Linked DNA regions of Arabidopsis thaliana. The protein of the gene in region 3 interacts with the protein of the main gene of each other region in a pairwise test. Each region holds a gene or a part of one and is shown on either strand. Other genes may lie near its edges. The genes, in order: AT5G66720, RIP1, KLCR2 and VAR3.

Region 1 (4,569 bases), on a different chromosome or scaffold from region 3:
TCTCTAACCGAAACAAGAACTCTTTAAAATAATCCAACTGTAAACTGGTCGGTGAACTTGGAGTTTAGTTGGTTTTGTCTGTAGCGCCGTTATATTTCTGATGTCTGCTAAAAAACTGAATCGTGTTCGTCGTCTTCCATAGCTAAGCCTATAATGTATCCATTAATTATAATTAAAGCCTCAAAGTTTATGTCCATGACTCATCATCTCTTTTTGTTTGTAGAATCTCAAGAAAACAACAATCATCCTGAAGTCATTATTGAGGAAGCTTCAAGAACGATCGGGTTCAATGTTAGCTCATCGGATCTAAGCAATGATCACAGTAACAACAATGGTGGATACGCAGGTTTGTTTGTATCATCAACAGCTTCGCCTAGTTTATATGCTTCCTCAACCGCTTCTCCAAGTCTATTCGCACCATCGTCCTCCATGGAACCCATCTCTCTCTGTCTCTCGACGAACCCTTCTTTGTTCGGACCAACAATACGAGATCCGCCACATTTCCTAACTCCTCTCCCTCCTCAACCGGCAATGTCAGCTACTGCATTGCTCCAAAAAGCTGCACAAATGGGTTCCACGGGATCAGGAGGTTCGTTGCTTCGCGGGTTAGGCATAGTTTCAACTACTTCTTCATCTATGGAACTCAGCAATCATGATGCATTGTCATTAGCTCCTGGTCTTGGACTTGGACTACCTTGTAGCAGCGGTGGTAGCGGATCGGGTCTAAAAGAGCTCATGATGGGGAATTCATCGGTGTTTGGTCCGAAACAGACGACACTAGACTTTCTTGGATTAGGAAGAGCTGTTGGTAATGGTGGTAATACCGGAGGTGGATTGTCTGCTCTGTTAACTTCTATAGGTGGTGGAGGTGGAATCGATCTGTTTGGATCAGGGGAGTTTTCAGGCAAAGACATTGGAAGAAGTTCGTAAGAGAGACAAAAGGCATGAACGTAGTAGACCAGTGTAGTATATAGTTCATCAAGTTTGTTTCAGGTTTTAGATGTTTTGGTATCTTGTTTTAGTGAAAGCTTTAGTTTTATTCCCAAGTGGGTTTTCTCTCAAGTACATAAATCTCCTAGCAACAACAACAAAATATATTGTTTTTTTTTTGGTGTGTGGTTTATTATAACTCACATGTTGTACTTTGAGAGATAATTTGAACTCGGGTTGTGACATGACAGCTAAATTATTACAGATGGTTACAAATCTTGGTCTAGTTCTGATGGAAGTCTCTACCATGTGAAAACAATCAATGGGGTTTGAAGTTTCTATTATTGGGTGTTGCTTGCTGTCTTAAAACGCTGAATCGAATTTTTGCATTAATGGGAACAATTCGTAGATGAGATTGAATTGACTTCTCCCAAAAGTGATAAATTTTTTGGAAGGTGGTGATATTTGTCTAAAAACTTGCAGAACTAAAAATAGTCTCAATTTGGCCAGATAATTTGAGACTTGACCAGTGTGATTTGATTGGAGAATCGACCAAAGATTTTGGATTTTGATGTTTCAATCGCTACGTAGGTCCATTATAGTGATAGAATTATCATGACAATTCAACCCACAAAGGCACTATTTTGTATTTTATTTTGGAGAGCAAGATAATTTATTTACCCACATCATATTTACTGTATTACAAAATCGGAAGTTTAACAGAAATCAGTAACTATGATTAGTGTGACTTTATCATTTGATCAATATTGATATGCTTGGACTCGAGCAATGATCGTGTAGTTTTCAATATTAAGAAAATAAAATTGGTTGTGTACAGTAAGCAAGAAGAGAGAAGCCTATTGGGGTTGATTGTGAAATGTTTCTTTCTTAATAGGCCATTGATATTTTAAGCTCATTAGTCATTATGCTGAAGACTACTCAAGTCCACAAGCTTAATACTATTGGGCCTTAAATGTCAAGTCCAAGACCATTAAATTATTATCTCTTAGTATTTTTTAATTTCGCTGAGAAATTTCAGACATCGAAAACTGAACACGAAGAAACAAGTTAAGTTTCCGATTTTGCCCTCATCGGCTAATGAGTTTTACGGAGGAGCTCGCAGCTGCAGGTAGGTAGCGGAAACAAGAGATCTTTATATATTCCTTCCTCTCTTCTCTAACCTAATTCCGGCGAAGAAGAAGACGGAAAAAGCCCTGACTAGTGAAGAATCCGGTAATAGTTTATCTCTTATCTCAAGTATTTGAAGTGGGTAATGATTAAGGGCTCGTTTTATAGTCTGTTGATTTTGGTGTAGCTTTGTTCAGTTTTGGTAAAAATCTTTCCTTTTATTGATTATTATTGATTCAGATGTCAGCGACTGCTCTCTCGAGATTAAACCCAGTTTCTCAATTTGGGTTTCAAAGAATCGTTGCTGGGAAAAGTAAGAGCTTCTTCTCCAATTCGGGTCAAAGGAGATTGTTTTCTGATAGTTCTCGGTTTCGTCAAGCCATGGCTGCTTCTGGTTCTTTGCCAGTGTTTGGAGACGCTTGTTTGGATGATTTGGTTACTACTTGTTCAAATGGCTTAGACTTCACTAAGAAGCGTTCTAGTGGTGGTAGCTTCACTATTAATTGTCCTGTAGCTAGCATGAGACTTGGGAAGAGAGGGGGAATGATGAAGAACCGATTGGTTTGTCACTATTCTGTTGTTGATCCGCTAGAAAAGAGTCGTGCACTCTTTGGGACATTGTCTAAGAGTGTTCATACTTCTCCTATGGCTTGTTTCTCGGTTGGACCGGCTCATGAGCTGTCTTCTCTTAACGGTGGTTCTCAAGAGTCACCACCAACTACTACTACATCTCTTAAGTAAGTTCTTTTACACTTTCTTAATCTTTTTGTTACCAATTGGTTTCAATGTTTTGATATTTTGAGTAGGAGTCTTAGGCTAGTGTCGGGGTCATGTTATCTCCCGCATCCTGAAAAGGAAGCTACAGGTGGAGAAGACGCTCACTTTATCTGCGATGAAGAACAAGCTATTGGAGTTGCAGATGGAGTTGGCGGTTGGGCTGAGGTTGGTGTTAATGCGGGACTGTTTTCGCGTGAGCTTATGTCTTATTCAGTATCTGCAATTCAAGAACAGCATAAAGGTTCTTCTATCGACCCTTTAGTGGTGTTAGAGAAAGCACATTCTCAAACCAAAGCCAAAGGCTCCTCCACGGCTTGTATCATCGTTTTAAAAGATAAGGTTAGTTAGCTCACAGAGTTTTGTTTGTGAATGAACAACAACTGTATTTCTTAGAACCGTCTGTTGAAGAGTGTTTGTTCTCCTTGTGCAAGGGATTACACGCCATTAATCTCGGAGACAGTGGATTCACGGTGGTTAGAGAGGGAACCACGGTGTTTCAGTCTCCGGTTCAGCAGCATGGATTCAACTTCACTTATCAATTAGAGAGTGGGAACAGTGCCGACGTCCCTAGCTCCGGTCAGGTCAGTTTCAAAGGCGTATTCTTCCTATTATCAAAGCTTAATAAGACCATTTTGAATACACTTTTCAGTTGTGGTTCGGGTTATACGGATTGAATTGAACACGCTGGTGTGGTTATATGAATCAGGTATTCACAATTGATGTTCAGTCTGGAGATGTCATTGTCGCTGGAACAGATGGAGTGTATGATAATTTATACAATGAAGAGATCACAGGAGTGGTGGTTAGCTCGGTGAGGGCCGGTTTAGACCCGAAAGGCACAGCTCAGAAGATTGCAGAGTTGGCACGTCAAAGAGCAGTCGACAAAAAACGGCAGAGCCCTTTCGCAACTGCGGCTCAGGAGGCTGGCTACAGGTATTACGGAGGAAAGCTTGATGACATCACTGCCGTCGTTTCTTACGTCACCTCATCTTAAGAGACCAAATTGATGATCTTCTGTTTAAACGGTCCAATCCCGCCAAAATCTGACGATACCTTTTCTTTTATTTTTTGTTGTGTTTTTTTGAAAAACTTGTTACGGTATTAAAAGTCCTCAGGAGGTCATTAAATGTGTATTTTTCACGGAATCAAAATATAGTTTAGCTAAGTTATGAAACGTGAATCTAATTGTGTTTACTTAGGTGAAAAAACACGATAGAATAATCATGGTTCATAGAGTAAATTATATGATGATTCTATTATTTATACCACATATTCTTCGATTCCGTACACTAATTAGTTTGGCATACTATTTTTCAACATAAATTGTTGAAATACCAAACAAAAAAGAACAAAGCACAAAGCCTAACCATTTTTTCTTTCGTTTTACTCTGTCGAGTTCGTATTGCTATACCTTTTATCTTTTACCAGAGAGTTTCTACTTCCATCACTTGGACATACAACTTTTGAAGATCTTGAGAAAAGGGACGATCATATTCATCAGTTTATTCGTCTTCTTCTTCAGCTTCTTCGTCTTGCTCATCTTTAGTCCGGGACAATCACAGACAACACGTTCTTGAACCAGACTGCTTGTTGAATCCTCGGTAGCTATATTGGCTTTGCTATTGGATGAAGTAGCATCAGTGTCTGAGCTTAAGCTTCTGAGCAAGTTTGTTAGTGAATATGTAATTTCTTTAAACTCAGGACGAGCGTCAGGATTCTCTGCCCAGCATGATT
Region 2 (4,716 bases), 5.3 Mb from region 3:
TATATTTCCAAGGGCGTTTATTTATCTTTTTTTCAGGCCTTGTAATGTCTTGTTATTACATGGGGTTTCTTGCAGGCAACGGGTTACCCTGTTTTTATGGAGAAACTTGCGGCTACTTGTGCAACTGCTGTTGAGTCAAGAGTGCAAATTGATGGAAGAATAGTGACCAGTCGTGGACCAGGAACCACCATTGAATTCTCCATCACGCTTATAGAGCAGTTGTTTGGGAAAGAAAAAGCTGATGAAGTCTCCAGTATCTTGGTATGTTTTGTCTCTGCCTCTTTTATCAACCGCTGTGGTACGTGTTCATGTCACCTCCTCGTAGACTTACTTGTTATCCTTTTGAAATCAGCTGCTTCGTCCTAACCCTGGTGAGGAGTTTACTTTTACTGAGCTTAACCAAACAAACTGGTCATTTGAAGATACACCACAGGTAAATGTTCAGTTGCCTCTCCACTTGGCCCTTTTAACATTTTTCCAAGACAGGCTTTGTTTGATCCGTTATACAGATTCCTAGGAACATGCTGTGTTGTAAAGCTTTTGTCTTTCTTGATCAATAGTCTTTTATGAGTCAGAGAGATAATGTTTTCCCTTTTCAGATTCTCGTACCCATTGCAGAGGAGTCAGAGGAAATTGAAGCTATAGCGCTTGTAGATATCCTGAGGCGGGCAAAAGCAAATGTAGTGATTGCTGCAGTTGGTAACAGTTTGGAAGTTGAAGGATCTCGCAAAGCTAAGCTAGTAGCAGAAGTTCTTCTTGATGAGGTTGCAGAGAAGTCGTTTGATCTGATTGTGTTACCTGTGAGTATTGCTAACTTCCAAAATGTGAATATACTATTTAGTCTTAAATTAAATTTTAATATTCTATGATGACAAATAACCAAAAACATAATCCAACTTCTTTGATGAACTACAGGGCGGTCTTAACGGTGCTCAAAGATTCGCAAGCTGCGAGAAGCTAGTTAATATGTTAAGGAAACAGGCAGAAGCAAACAAACCATATGGAGGAATCTGCGCATCGCCTGCTTACGTCTTCGAGCCTAATGGTTTACTCAAGGTGCATAAATCAAACAGTACTAGAATTGTAGTTTCTTGTTCTATCTTTTAAGTCATTAAACTGAGATATAAGAGACATGTTTTGTATAGGGTAAGAAGGCTACTACTCACCCAGTGGTGAGCGACAAACTTTCGGACAAGAGTCACATTGAGCACAGAGTCGTGGTAGATGGAAATGTCATAACAAGCAGAGCTCCAGGGACTGCAATGGAGTTTTCACTTGCCATTGTCGAAAAGTTTTACGGGCGAGAGAAAGCTCTTCAGCTCGGAAAGGCAACACTTGTGTGATTTCAAACAATGAAAGTATGAGAGTGGCTTGAATAAAAAGAAGGCTTTGCCTTTTAGTTATCTCTCTCCATTAGTAATTACTTACTTTATGATATATGACATATGAGCTTGGCTTAGTGATTGGTGTGTAACTTTATGCCTTTATAAATGAATAAACGAGATTTTTCTATGTATGTTGCCGATATTTTCTTTAAACCTCTGCAAGAGCTAGAGGGTGTGCTGGAGAAAAAAATTATTTTATGGAGAAAGATATTTTAGTCACACATTTTCACCAAATTGACCTTACAATAACTCTAAAATACGAATTTGCCCCTATGTTTAGCTTTGGAATATTTCATATTTGTAAACCATTTAATAATATGATTATTACCAATTTAGTGAAAATAAAATCTTCAGTCTTCTCTTCTTGTATAAAAATAGCTTTTTTATCATTTGAAAACAGAGTAATGTCACTAATTTCTTGGCGAAAATGTGTTTATTTGTAACTTAAGGTAAAATAGGGGCAATTTTGTTGAATCTGATAAGATCAGGGGGTAGTACCGTAGATTTCGCTGTCCAGTTCAGTTATGAAATACCTAAAATGCCCTCGACTCATAATCTACTATTAAACCCTCATAAAACCCTTGATTTCATTTCTAGCTCATCTGTTTTCACACTCTCTCCTAGGGTTTTATCTGCGAAGCCCAATCTAGAGCTTCCATGGCGACGCATACCATTTCTCGATCCATTCTTTGCCGACCGGCGAAATCTCTTTCGTTTCTGTTCACGCGATCCTTTGCTTCATCTGCTCCTCTCGCCAAATCTCCGGCGTCTTCTCTGCTCAGCCGGTCCCGTCCTCTGGTCGCCGCTTTTTCCTCCGTTTTCCGTGGCGGCCTTGTGTCTGTCAAAGGTCTCTCGACGCAGGCTACATCGTCTTCTCTGAACGACCCGAATCCCAACTGGTCGAACAGGCCACCTAAGGAGACGATCCTGCTCGATGGTTGCGATTTCGAGCACTGGCTTGTCGTCGTGGAGCCACCTCAGGGTGAGCCTACTAGAGATGAAATCATTGATAGCTACATCAAAACCCTAGCTCAGATTGTTGGCAGGTAAATCCCCAATTCAAAACTCTCTCTCTCTCTCTCTCTCTCTGTGTATGTTCTTCTAGGGATTTTAGGTTAAATAAGTGAGAAATCCACTACTGTGTATGACGGATCTGTGTGTTTACTTAGATCATTTTTGGAGCTGTAACATGATATATCTCGTTTTGGACATTTCAGTGAAGACGAAGCTAGGATGAAGATCTACTCGGTTTCAACTAGGTGCTACTATGCTTTTGGGGCACTTGTGTCAGAAGATCTTTCTCACAAGTTAAAAGGTTAACTCTTGCCTTTGTTGGGTTTTAGTTTTCCTCATTTCTGTGTTATAATCTGCCTTCTAACTTTCTTCTGTAACTCTCCAGAGTTGTCAAATGTGCGCTGGGTTCTTCCTGACTCTTACCTGGATGTGAGGAACAAAGACTATGGAGGTAGGCTTAAGTGTATTATCTGTATCATAACCTGGGTTTGAAATTGGGGTAGTTGCTTTGCTCGTCCATTATACTTTTGCTGGGTTTGAAATTTTCAAGGGAAACTACCTGTTGCTAGTCTTCGCTCTGTGGACTCGTTACTTGCTCCATGCTTTTGTGTTAGATTGACACATGGGGCGACTTCTATTTATAGTTAATTAACATTGTGGGTGCATCTGTTAGATTTGATTTAGTGATATCTATTGTGAGACTGGTGTTGTAGAAGTCGCAGTGATGTTGCTTTGGTGAGAGTTTAAATCTTTCTGGTGATCCTATTAGAGAGTTAGTTTGATGCGTTTTTGTATATATTGACTTTCAGGGGAACCTTTCATCGATGGGAAGGCTGTTCCTTATGATCCTAAGTACCACGAGGAGTGGATAAGGAACAATGCTAGAGCAAATGAAAGGAACAGACGCAATGACCGTCCTCGCAACAATGATAGAAGCAGAAACTTTGAGAGGAGAAGAGAGAACATGGCAGGAGGCCCTCCTCCTCAACGTCCTCCCATGGGAGGCCCTCCTCCTCCTCCGCACATCGGTGGCTCTGCACCTCCTCCGCCTCATATGGGTGGCTCTGCACCTCCTCCACCTCACATGGGGCAGAACTATGGACCACCACCACCAAACAACATGGGAGGACCAAGGCATCCACCACCTTATGGAGCACCACCGCAAAACAACATGGGAGGACCGAGGCCACCTCAGAACTATGGAGGAACACCACCTCCCAACTATGGAGGAGCACCACCAGCAAACAACATGGGAGGAGCACCACCACCAAACTATGGAGGAGGACCACCACCTCAATATGGAGCAGTACCACCACCTCAATACGGAGGAGCACCCCCACAGAACAACAACTACCAGCAGCAGGGTAGTGGAATGCAGCAGCCACAGTACCAGAACAACTACCCACCTAACCGGGATGGCAGTGGCAACCCCTACCAGGGTTAAAGCAGTTGAAGCAGTCGTGGGTTTCCTTTTTAATCATGCATTCTGGGCTGTGTATAGATAATTTGAGGAAGAGAGAGTGCAGTAGCAAGACTTTAAAACTCCTTTTATCTCGAGTGTTTATCAGTCTGGGATTATGTGAGAGAGAATAGCCTAAGTTACTGTGGCATGGTTAGAACTTTTCACTCTTGCGTTTCTTTTTAGTAGTTTATATCCTAAATCGATCTCAAGTTCTTCCTTGTGATGCTTGCTACTCTTATGTCCACTCCTGGTTCTGCATTAAACGGGATTTAGTAACATGTCTCCCACAGGCTATTGTTTTGTGTCTTTCTTTGGCTTCTTCCTAGTCTTAATTTCTAATTCCCCAATCATGTTTACATGGGAATGGGATACTCATATTATAACAGGAAGAATGACAAATGTCATCAATATCATATTTCTTTCGACAAACTTGACAGAACACACAATTTGATGATGAGAGAGAGAAGCGGGTGTGAAGTAACAAGATGGGCTTTGTGTTCTTTATCCCGGCCCATCATTCTAAATTTCAGCCCAAAATGGAAAATCTCGTAACCGTATAAAGCCCTCGCTTCCCTCATATGTTTTTCCGCCGTCACATATTTTCCCCTCTTTTTTTTCGTGTCAGATTCGCTTTCTCTACGGCTGGACTAGAAGGATTAGGGATTTACCGGTGAAAGAATAACTCCAGAGATAAATCTGTAACCATGGATATGATGAAGAAGCGTAAGCTCGATGAGAACGGTAACGGACTCAATACCAACGGTGGCGGAACCATTGGTCCAACTCGATTGTCGCCGCAAGACGCGAGGAAGATTATCGAGCGATTCACCACTGATCAGCTGCTCGACTTATTGC
Region 3 (5,231 bases):
CCTCGATGGTTCGATATCGGATCCACCTCTCCCTACCCAAAAAGCATGTAAACTCACGAAAAAATAAGTTGCCATGATATAAACTAATAAATGTCTAGCATATTTCTGGTGCTTTCAAGTAACTAGCCAAAATTTCTATTCACATCTCTCTTTTTGTTTTTGAATCAATGTAAAATTTTCTTCAAAAAGTCATTGGTTACAATATATGCAGCTTTAAGCAGAATGTTTCTATTCACATCTTATCATATTAGTTATTATATAAAAGACTATATCAAATAATCAGTAACTTGTTTGGTAAGAAATTTTAAACCGCTTAGTTCAGATTATCTTTTGCTTAGTGACAACTTTTCTTTTGTTGCTTTGCTAAGTGACAACTTCTTGATTCGGTGGGTCGTCTCTTTATGTTCTCATGCTACATATGTATGTGTATATTCGGTTATTGTTTTTTGTTGACATTCATGAACATTACATGACAAGACCAGACAAGATGTTTTAGTAACCAAACACTTGTTGTTTACTCAAGATCAGTGCTCAAAGTTAGAGAAACTGCCATCAAGGAGATTTTTAAACTCCAAAATTTCAATGTAAATCACATTACAAAACGACCAAATCAATTGCGTTTTACTCTTTACATTTTATTTATAAAGAAAACAAATGCAAGATTTTTTTTTTTTTCCTTCACTTTTTATAAAACTAGAAAACATAAAGCCTCTTCATTTTTTTCCTTCTCCCTCGACCGTGTAAGTACCGTATTCGAACTTGTATTTTGTATATATATACATTTTAGACCGGACAATAATCCGGTTAATCAATAAACCGGTCTCTGTCCATTTGCAATTTCAGGGTTGTTGTCCAAAAGGGTAAGAAGTGCTCTGTTTCTTTTACTCCTTCCTCTTCCAGCTTCTTTCAACAACGCAGCAAGCCTCTGCTTCTCGTCCTCAACCTCGGGATTTGCCGTCCCGAGCTTCTCTTCTCTTGTCCCAACAACATACTCCAATATCTCTATAGCATCATCTAACCTGTAAAGCAAGTAACACATTGCTTGTACCGCAGGGAAATACCAAAAAACATAACCTAGCAAGAAAATTGTTTTAAGTTCCAAATTTACCTTCCCATTGCGTCGTACGTTCCAGCAAGGTTACTGTAAACCGCTAATGTATCGGGATGGTACGGTCCACACTCTTTCTCAAGAATAGTTTTCGCTTCTTCAAACAAATCTGCAGCTTCATTGATCGCGTAACGCTGAACGCAAGCTAGTCCCATCTGATTCAAAGCAATCCCGAAAAGAGCGGTTTTTTTCTCTCCGCTATTGCGGAACTTTGATATCGCGCTCTTGAATATGTCGTAGGACTCGGAGTAATTTCCCATCATATAAGTAACCACACCCATTTGAGCTTCAATACCTGCAATCGTGTTCTGTTGACCTGGAGCGTTTGCATATATCTTCAACGCCCGTCTCAACAACTTAAGAGCTTGATCAAGTTCATTCATTGACTGATATATCGCAGAAATCTCTATAAAACCAGTCGCAACCTCTTCCATAGGAGTTCCTGGAGTCGGTTTTAGGTAAATCTTGAGAGCGTTTTCGCAGTACGATTTGGAATCGCGTGTTTTCCCAATCTTGTTGTACAAGTCAGCAAGCCTAACGTAAACCAAAGCAACAGAGGAATGAGTCTCACCTTTTCCTTGCTTAAACACAGCTAAAGCCTTCTGGTATGCGAATATCGCTTCATCAAACCTAGCTAGCGACATGTAAGCATCACCAATACTGCAATCTACAGCAGCAACATCTTCTCTATGGTTCTGAGATGACATTGCCATGCTCGCTAAAACATAATGCTCAAGCGCAACTTCATAATCACCTTTCGCATCGCAGATAAGTCCCATCAGTTTTCTATCCGCAGCTTCTTCAATAGAAGCTGTAGCGGCAGCACCGTTTTCTTTGTGAATGTCCAATGCCATTTGACAAAGCCTTGAGGCTTCTTCAAACTGCATTGCTTGAACATGAGCTTCCGCTAAGTACCTACAAGTTTCGCCAACTCGTGCATCCGATTCTCCAAGAACTTGTCTTTGAATCTCCAAACCCGCGGTGTATAGCATAATCGAATTTTCAACTTGACCCATCAAACCATACATGTCACCAAGCTGCATACACCCTGCAAATTTCGCCAACGCGTGATCCTCACCATCTTCAATCATCGGTATCTCGATAGAACGTTCAAGAACAGGCACAGCGTCATTGTATCTCCCTAACCCTGCATATATCGCTGCCAAGATATGCAAAGACATCACCAAATTCAACCCAAGTTGTTTCTCTCCTTCCCCACATTTCTCAAACACTTTCACCGCTCTCAACGCTAAATCAAGAGCCTTGTTTAAATTCTCACCTGAAGAAACCAACTCTCTGGCTTGCTTCAACAACACCACACCAAGCTCAGGACTCTCCTCATCAACAGAAACCTTCCCCAAATCCGGTGATTTCCTCGAAGAGATCCTCGAACCCGGCATCTTCGGATTATTAGGACTCGTTTTCGCAACCTTCTTACCATTCGAAAGAGGTTTCTTCTGACTCAAGCTACCTTCTCCATTACTTTCTTCCTTCTTCTCCAAGATAATCTCTTTCTTGCTCTCTCCTTCTTCTCCTACATCTCCAACCAAATGCCTCAACTCCAAATCAATCCTAGATTCAGCTCCATACGAAATAAAACTCGCCCTGGACGGAGACTGATCATCAGAACTCTCCATTTCACAAACGTTATGATACAACTGCTCAATAGAAGCATTCATAGCTCCATCAATTGCAAGATCTATAGAACTCAGAGGACTCCTCGGTGAAGCTTGAAGGGCAGAATCGTCTTTTACCCTCTCATTGCTCTCTCCTACGTCCATGGCCTCCAAAACTCACAACTCAATTATAAATCTGAATCAATGGAGACCAAGATTTTAGATTCAAATCCGTTAAAACAACAAGATAACATCAAAAGACTCGAAATTGAGAACCATAAGTCCCTAACTAGAATTATCTAAAGCTGACATAGATTCAGTTACTAACAGAGAACAAAACCCAGAATCAAATTCAACGAAATTGAAAAGAAAAACGAAAACTTTGAAGATTTTAAGAGATAAAAATCGAACCTTTATGTGTCTTTGACTCTGAAGAAATCTGCAAGAAGGCAAAAAAAGAACAGATTCTGTTTTTTGGTAACTTAGTGTGGTTGTGTAAGAGATGAAAATGAAGGATTTGGTGTCTTGTACTTTTCACTTTTAGGTGTTTGTTTTATATCTTCACTTTCATAATCTCATAGCTAATGTTATGAGAAAGATGAAGCAACAACATTTATGCACAAACCCTTTCACTGTCCTTATATGTTTTGAAACAAAAGCAGACTTTTTTTTTTGGGTCTACATTGCTTACTTTAATTTACCTTTTAAATTGAATTATTGATTGATTATATTAAGATAATGAAGATGATAATTGACTCTTTTTGATGTGATTATATGATTATTTTTTCAAGAAAGAGATGCATAACCAGAAATTTTTTTGAAGATCATTAGGTTTGAAGATGATTGACTCTTGAAGCAATAAAAAGAAGATGACTTCTTCCCTACTTGCACTCTCTCTTTAAATAATTTATCTTTTTTCCTCAATTTTATAAATAAATTTATCTCTTTGAAAAATAATAATGAATGTCTCATCCATTTTTTTTATCATCTAAAATTTGATTAAAAATTTGCTGTGAAACCAAAGAAAATTACAAATTTTCAAAGAAGGAAAAGTAAAACCGACAGATAAAAAATAATTCCCCAAAAATTACAGCAGAAAAAAACGAGATTCTTTCTGGAAACTAAACACTATGAAATGAATGTTTCATCCATTTCAAGATTACCTTTTTTTTAATTAAAACTTTTAAAAAATATTGTTTCCTTCACATGCAATTTTTTCATGAATTTGTTTTTTTAAAGTTAAAGTTTGAGTTTTGCCCGTTAAGAATTAATTATTTTTCTTATTTATCCTAAAAGAAATATTGTTTCCTTGAAATGCAATTTTTTAGGGATTTAATGAGTTAAATTAGAACAAAAAAAAATTGAGTTTTGCAGGTTAATTAGCCAGCTAATTAAATGCTGGGGAAAGATCACAATTCACAAGTCTACGTCAAACCCTACAAATTCACAGCTGTATAATAAGTACCGTTGAGATTCCGCCACGTGTCATACTTAATCATCAATTATCTCTAATGATCATCCCATGATCTCTAATCTATATACGTAATATTAAAAACGTGAACAGTTAAAAATTTAGCCTTTTGATTGATATAATGATGCAGTGTTTTTTTTTTAGTATAGTCTTTAACTCTTTATGGAAAGAAAAATTGGACCACTGGATTTAAAGGATTGAATCACTAATTTAGTAAGAATTTTTCTTAATGACGAAATGATATGACACGTGGACTACAGCTGCATACCAGTTAGACAGCCTGGTTTTATGGTCCAGATGTGGTCCACCTTTAAGCCCATTACGGCTTTATGGGCCCTTATAGTCATCAGTGTAGGGCCTACCCAAAATGTAATTTTTATAGAACTCTCGTTCCCATATTTCATGAGTCAATTTTATTGTGAAAAAACGATAATGCGCTTAAGGCAATTTTTTCACTAGCCAACCAACAAAATATCGAAATGACTATTATTTTTATTTATTTTTTTTTTCTTGTCACAACGAAATGACTATTTATATATGTTTTTGTTAAGAGCCCATAACATTATATTATTTGGTTGGTCGGTCATATTATATATGCAAATTATGTATGACTTGGTTTCTTACAAGAGACAGAGACAACCCACACGTTTGTTCATAATTCTAAGACCTAACAACGTCTCTTCCTTCGGATTTTTATTTTTGTATATTGCATAAAGACAACTCTGTAACCACAAATACTTTATTATTTCCTATTCACAAAGTTATAAGCAATTCTTTTTTATCGTCAGTTCATAAGCAATTCATTGGATTAATTTATGAACTGAAAACAAATTGTAATCATTGACGACTGTTGGGCGGTGCTGTTTTCTTTAACTCTTTCGCCGCTCGAATCCCATATCAAATCTTATCTGTTCACAAATTATTTGGTTTTCTAAATTCCTACGCGTTTTATATTACCAACACGTTTTTGTTTTCTTCGAAAATTTTAGGTCAGAACGTATATAATTTTGACAAATTTGTCAAATACTATCTCTGA
Region 4 (5,227 bases), on a different chromosome or scaffold from region 3:
CGTGGATCCATCGGATCATGTTCGTCATTTGATAAAGTCGTCGGTGAATTTTACGAAATGGTTAGTGGTTATTGATCATTGTTTAACCACAATTTCTAACACTCTCACTTGTACGATTAAAGTTAATGGAATTGTGTTTTTCTTATCCTTTTAAAATTTGAGACAATCTTTCAATAGACCCAGAAAACAAAAGGTGGCGAGAAAAGGTAACTTCGAAACTCCAAGCGCTAAAATAATGTTCGGATAATCATGATTCATGAGATAAGTCACACTAATTACATTAACATAGAAAAAGTTTCTTTAAAACTTCTTGATTAGTTTTAAAGAAGACACTTTAACTAATTTGAGGAATTTAGGGCTTTATCTCATGATGTAATGACATAAAGTCTCTTTATTAAAATTGAATTTTAATTACAAATCATGTCAAAGTTGTTAGCCCGTCCATTGCACTTGTGGCATAGAACTAAACATGTCACATCAAAGTATAAATAGTAATTAATTATGATAAAATACATTTCTAGGGGAATTAATGAGGTTATACCTTACGGACTTAGATTGAAGTCATTATCAAGGCAGTTAATTGTCTACGTACTCACCAATATTTTACTCCACATAGATCTAAACAAAGAAATTAGTTATTACATTATAAATAGCTTAGTGTATGTAAAAGTGTTAATCAGAATAAACATTAGTCAAAAGTTGACGGCAGTGATCGGCAACTAATCCACACCCAACTTTAACTCACAGTGACTCCCACGTTCAAGAGAACACAAATATTATTCTCTCCTTTTTAGTTCCACTGATGTTTTAATTTTCGTTTCTTTCGTTTATATAAAACTATATTCATAACGTATTATTTTTTAGTTAATTTTTATTTCTTAGGTTTTATTATATATTGTAATTGTATAAGTTCTGAAACCAAGAAGTACTAATACATAATAAATATAACTATTTTAGATCCTTGACATAGCTTTTTTCTATAGTATATGTAAAAATAGTCTATATCATCTATTATTTTCGAAAGTTGTAAGTTGTAACATATAAACTTATTAATTTAAGAAAAACAAAAGTTAGAAATTAAATAACGTATGTGAATTGAAATCTCTAAACAAGTAAACATCACTTATTACGAACATATGTAGAAGTATAACTATAATCGAGGTTTGTTAAGTAAGTGAAAATTCAATAACGGAGAAATGTATGACTATAAATCTTTTAAAGTTATAGCGGCTTTAAGTCAAAAGAAATGTATGCATGCGTATGACATTGTACAATGTACACTTCAACTTTTCAAGTCACGAAAATTGATGTCAAATCGACGTGCAATTTGATAAATACCGAATCTGCAAACTCCTTTTTATATTGTATAAACTGAAGATTTCAACATAAAACTTACGCTTATCTTTAAAACATCTCTTAGATTAGATTACTATCAGTTCGTTACTTGGGTTAATTCCATTATTAGTACGAAACCATTTACTTTTTCTTTAAGAGACATCCCATTTGAATGAAATACATTATTTACCAAAGTTACCAAACATTCATAATGGCAAGCCCAAGTAGTAGCACACAGAATTATGGGCCTATGTTAGCCAATATGGGCTTATTTTTTTCTTCATTTTGCAATTATTTTGCGATTTATTAATCCTTTTTTTTTCCTTAAACATCACTGAAATAATTCTCGCCGGTAAAAATAAAACCAGTGACGACGAGCAACGATGAACAACTCCACCAGACTCATCTCCCTCTTCTCTCCTCATCCTCCTCCTCTCTTTCTACTCCGTGGTCTCTACATCAGCCGCATAGCCAATCTCCGCCGTTTCCACCGCCGTGCGTTTCCTCCTTCGTCCGTTGCCTCAACCAATCTATGTTCTTTCCGTCCACTCGTGTCATTGCCGCCGCTTATCCCCACGTTTCCTATAGGACGATTCTACAATCACCAAGTCCGTGTCTCCGCCGCAGATTTTGTTCCTTCTTATCACAACCAGCAGCTACCTGAATGGACAGAGCTACTCCAATCTCTCTCCAAAGCTGGTTACTTCTCAGATTCCGGTTCGATTTCTGGTTTAGAAAGTGAATTCTTTCCCGGTTTTCCTGATGAACTTCTCCGTCCAGCTCTTGCTTGCTTAGCTCTAGCTCGTGAACGACCAGAACTGCTTGAGTAAGTAATCTGCAATTTTTTCTCTTTCTCTTTTTGGATTGATTCTCAATCTGAATATCTGATGATGTTAGTGTTTATTAGAATGCTTTCGAGGAGAGACGTTGAAGTGCTGGTGGAGAATGGAAAGCCATTTTTATTCAAGACAGGTCCAGATTCACTTAAAAGGATGAGCCTTTACCTAAGAAGTGGTCTTCAGGGCATTGGTAAGGTAAGTTCTATCTTCTGGCAAATGCTTAGTCTTTTATTGGTGAATGCTAGGTTATGTCTAAACTTGGTTCAATGGTGATTTGTGCCTCAAAGTTATGATCTTTTGTGTTTTACATTAGTTGATGGATATGGAGAAGGCGAGTACAGTTGATTTGATGAGGCTTATTTTGAGTTATGTTGTGGATGTTGCTTCTTCTGAGGAGAGCAAACAACATAACAAAGAGATTATGGAGTCATCGGTTCGAAGCCTCTTGAGTCAGATAGCGAAGATGAGCTTGCGTCCTCCTGAGTCGAATGTTCATGACACGATGCAAAATCAGTACTCAGATAGAGATGGACAAGGAGTCAGGTCTTTTCAGAATAACGTTGAGATGAAACGTGGTGACTGGATTTGCTCGAGGTATGAATTTGTTGGATTCTCAGTAGCTTTTTGGTGTAAATCTCCTATGGCCTTTTGGTTACCATTCTTCTATGGAAAGATATAAGTAGGCCTAGATATAAGGATACCATAAAAAAAAATCTTCTGGATCTGAGCTTGAACAAGTATACTTCTGACTATTACACTAGTATTGTGGTCGAAAGATCTTATTTTTAGAGCTAAGAAGTCAGTATGGTGTAATTGTCTTTGTTTCATCATCTTGTCGTTTAGGGAATCTATATATATGATGTGGGAATTTGTTGAAACAGGTGCAGTGGCATGAACTTTGCGAGAAATGTCAAATGCTTCCAGTGTGATGAAGCAAGACCAAAGAGACAGCTTACTGGTAGTGAATGGGAGTGTCCTCAGTAAGAAACTGATTTTTTCTCTCTGCTACTTTATGACTAATGCGATGAGGAATGATGAGGTTAACCTTTCCTTTCTTTCTTGGTTGTTTCACTTATCAGATGTGATTTCTATAATTACGGGAGGAATGTAGCTTGCTTAAGATGTGACTGCAAGCGACCCAGGGACTCTTCACTCAATTCAGCCAACTCTGATTATTCAAGTGACCCTGAACTTGAGAGAAGACTGGTCGAAAACGAAAAGAAAGCACAGAGGTGGCTTAGTAAAGTAGCACAGGGTGGTTCTGATGCGAACAGTGTTGATACAGATGAAGATTTCCCAGAGATTATGCCTTTGAGGAAAGGAGTGAATAGATATGTTGTTAGCACGAGGAAGCCACCTCTTGAGAGAAGGTTGGCTAATACTGAGAACAGAGTAGCTACAGATGGAAACTCGAAAAGGAGCGACGATAATGCTTTGGGAAGTAAAACAACTAGGAGCTTGAATGAGATTCTTGGTTCTTCATCCTCTTTGACTTCTCGTTCTGATGACAAGAATGTATCTTCCAGAAGGTTTGAATCTTCTCAGGGAATAAACACCGATTTTGTTCCTTTCGTGCCATTACCTTCGGATATGTTTGCCAAGAAACCTAAGGAGGAAACACAGATAGGTCTGATTGACAACATCCAAGTGGATGGTTTCTCAGGCGGCAATCAAAATGTCTATCAAGAGGACAAGTCAGATGCAAATCACTCTGGCAAAGAAACAGATCGCCTTGAAAAGGAAGATCACAAATCAGAGGAACCTGCGAGGTGGTTCAAACGGGTCACCGAACTGCACAATGTTTCAGACTTGGAAAGCGCAATACCGCAAGAGATTTCTCCTGAGAAAATGCCTATGCGAAAAGGAGAGAATCGGTTTGTAGTGAGTAGGAAGAAAGACCGTTCACTGACTTCTCCAGCATACAAGAGGCCAGAAGATTCAGACTTTGTCCCCTTTGTCCCTTTCCCACCTGACTACTTCGCCAAAGAGAAACAACCCAAGGAATCAATAGATACTCTTCCAGCTCCGGCGACAGAAAACGTTTCTCAGGTAGTACAACAAGAACCAAGAGAACCTTCAATCAACAAATCTGATACAGTGGCAGTGAAGATCAGAAATGGAAAGAGCTTGGAGGGTTCGTTAGTGAAGGAGTCAGACTTGTTGGACATGTCAGAGGAAGCAAAAGCAGAGAGATGGTTTAAGAGAGTGGCTGAGATTAAGAACATATCAGAGCTGAGTGAGATCCCAGACGAAGATTTCCCGTCGATAATGCCGATGAGGAAAGGAGTGAATAGGTTTGTTGTCAGCAAGAGGAAAACTCCCTTGGAACGGCGTTTAACTTCTCAACGACACCAGAGAAATCCTCATATCACCAACTCTGATCCCACTGGTAAAGGAGATAAATGACCATGTAGCATAACATTTTTTCGGAGTAATATTACCATACGATTTTTGTATTTCTTTAATTCAACTTCTATATACACAATGTGTAGAAACTTTATTCTCCATCTTTACCGACGGCATCCTTTAGAAGTCGCTGTGTTTCTTCTCTCCTCCTGCACACAACAAAATCAACATTGCTATAATACATCAAACGTTACCACAACAAGCTTTTGAAGAATCTTGGATGGATGATACTGATACCATTAATATAATAAAGTTAATGCACACAAACATCTTAATGTCCTTCACAGCTTGCTTTCGCTGTTGAATTTGAAGTTCCATAATGTGAATAAGCTTTGGTCTCGCCTTGATTAAAAGAAACAACACAAATATATATACAGACAGAATGTTGTGAATATAAACGTAACACAAAGTGATGAAACATGTTGTGAATGAAAAGAGATCGTTACTTGGTGAGGCAGTAAAGAATTGAGAAAGTAATGCAAAATATTAAAGATTGAAGATATATCAGCAAGCTCCAAAAGGAGAGTTATAAGCAAAACCGAAAACACGTCGTTAGAGGCAAGATTTAGAACGAGAGGCAAGATTTAGAACGACGTCGTTTATGATATCTGCGGGTAAATCAGGCTCCCCTATTTTGGGCCTGGGAA

The links.
Region 1: the proteins of KLCR2 (region 3) and AT5G66720 interact in a two-hybrid assay, tested with the Arabidopsis thaliana proteins (one large-scale study listed by BioGRID).
Region 2: the proteins of KLCR2 (region 3) and RIP1 interact in a two-hybrid assay, tested with the Arabidopsis thaliana proteins (one large-scale study listed by BioGRID).
Region 4: the proteins of KLCR2 (region 3) and VAR3 interact in a two-hybrid assay, tested with the Arabidopsis thaliana proteins (one large-scale study listed by BioGRID).

The regions. Positions count from the first base shown.
Region 1 is NC_003076.8:26,638,275-26,642,843, reverse strand, and holds AT5G66720 (Protein phosphatase 2C family protein), read left to right. Parts: upstream 1-1,931; 5' UTR 1,932-2,163; intron 2,164-2,298; coding exon 2,299-2,795; intron 2,796-2,864; coding exon 2,865-3,174; intron 3,175-3,266; coding exon 3,267-3,416; intron 3,417-3,541; coding exon 3,542-3,829; 3' UTR 3,830-4,054; downstream 4,055-4,569. Other genes in the region: IDD1 (C2H2-like zinc finger protein), read left to right, coding at 224-930; AT5G66710 (Protein kinase superfamily protein), read right to left, coding at 4,280-4,569.
Region 2 is NC_003074.8:5,048,279-5,052,994, forward strand, and holds RIP1 (cobalt ion binding protein), read left to right. Parts: upstream 1-1,916; 5' UTR 1,917-2,042; coding exon 2,043-2,431; intron 2,432-2,602; coding exon 2,603-2,700; intron 2,701-2,784; coding exon 2,785-2,850; intron 2,851-3,208; coding exon 3,209-3,843; 3' UTR 3,844-4,177; downstream 4,178-4,716. Other genes in the region: DJ1A (Class I glutamine amidotransferase-like superfamily protein), read left to right, coding at 76-261, 353-433, 600-800, 916-1,056, 1,146-1,343; AT3G15010 (RNA-binding (RRM/RBD/RNP motifs) family protein), read left to right, coding at 4,566-4,716. UniProt on the Arabidopsis thaliana protein: Involved in organellar RNA editing. Required for the processing of numerous RNA editing sites in mitochondria and plastids. Binds to the plastid RARE1 factor, a pentatricopeptide repeat-containing protein involved in RNA editing.
Region 3 is NC_003074.8:10,379,705-10,384,935, forward strand, and holds KLCR2 (Tetratricopeptide repeat (TPR)-like superfamily protein), read right to left. Parts: upstream 3,546-5,231; 5' UTR 3,136-3,545; intron 2,955-3,135; exon of another isoform or gene 2,921-2,954; 5' UTR 2,890-2,920; coding exon 1,109-2,889; coding exon of another isoform or gene 1,105-1,108; exon of another isoform or gene 1,020-1,104; coding exon 809-1,019; 3' UTR 526-808; downstream 1-525. Other genes in the region: AT3G27950 (GDSL-like Lipase/Acylhydrolase superfamily protein), read left to right, coding at 1-67.
Region 4 is NC_003076.8:5,869,163-5,874,389, reverse strand, and holds VAR3 (zinc finger (Ran-binding) family protein), read left to right. Parts: upstream 1-1,607; 5' UTR 1,608-1,718; coding exon 1,719-2,161; intron 2,162-2,242; coding exon 2,243-2,369; intron 2,370-2,487; coding exon 2,488-2,768; intron 2,769-3,055; coding exon 3,056-3,154; intron 3,155-3,253; coding exon 3,254-4,580; 3' UTR 4,581-4,694; downstream 4,695-5,227. UniProt on the Arabidopsis thaliana protein: Probable component of some protein complex required for chloroplast and palisade cell development. Involved in C-to-U editing of chloroplastic RNA. Controls a large number of chloroplastic editing sites.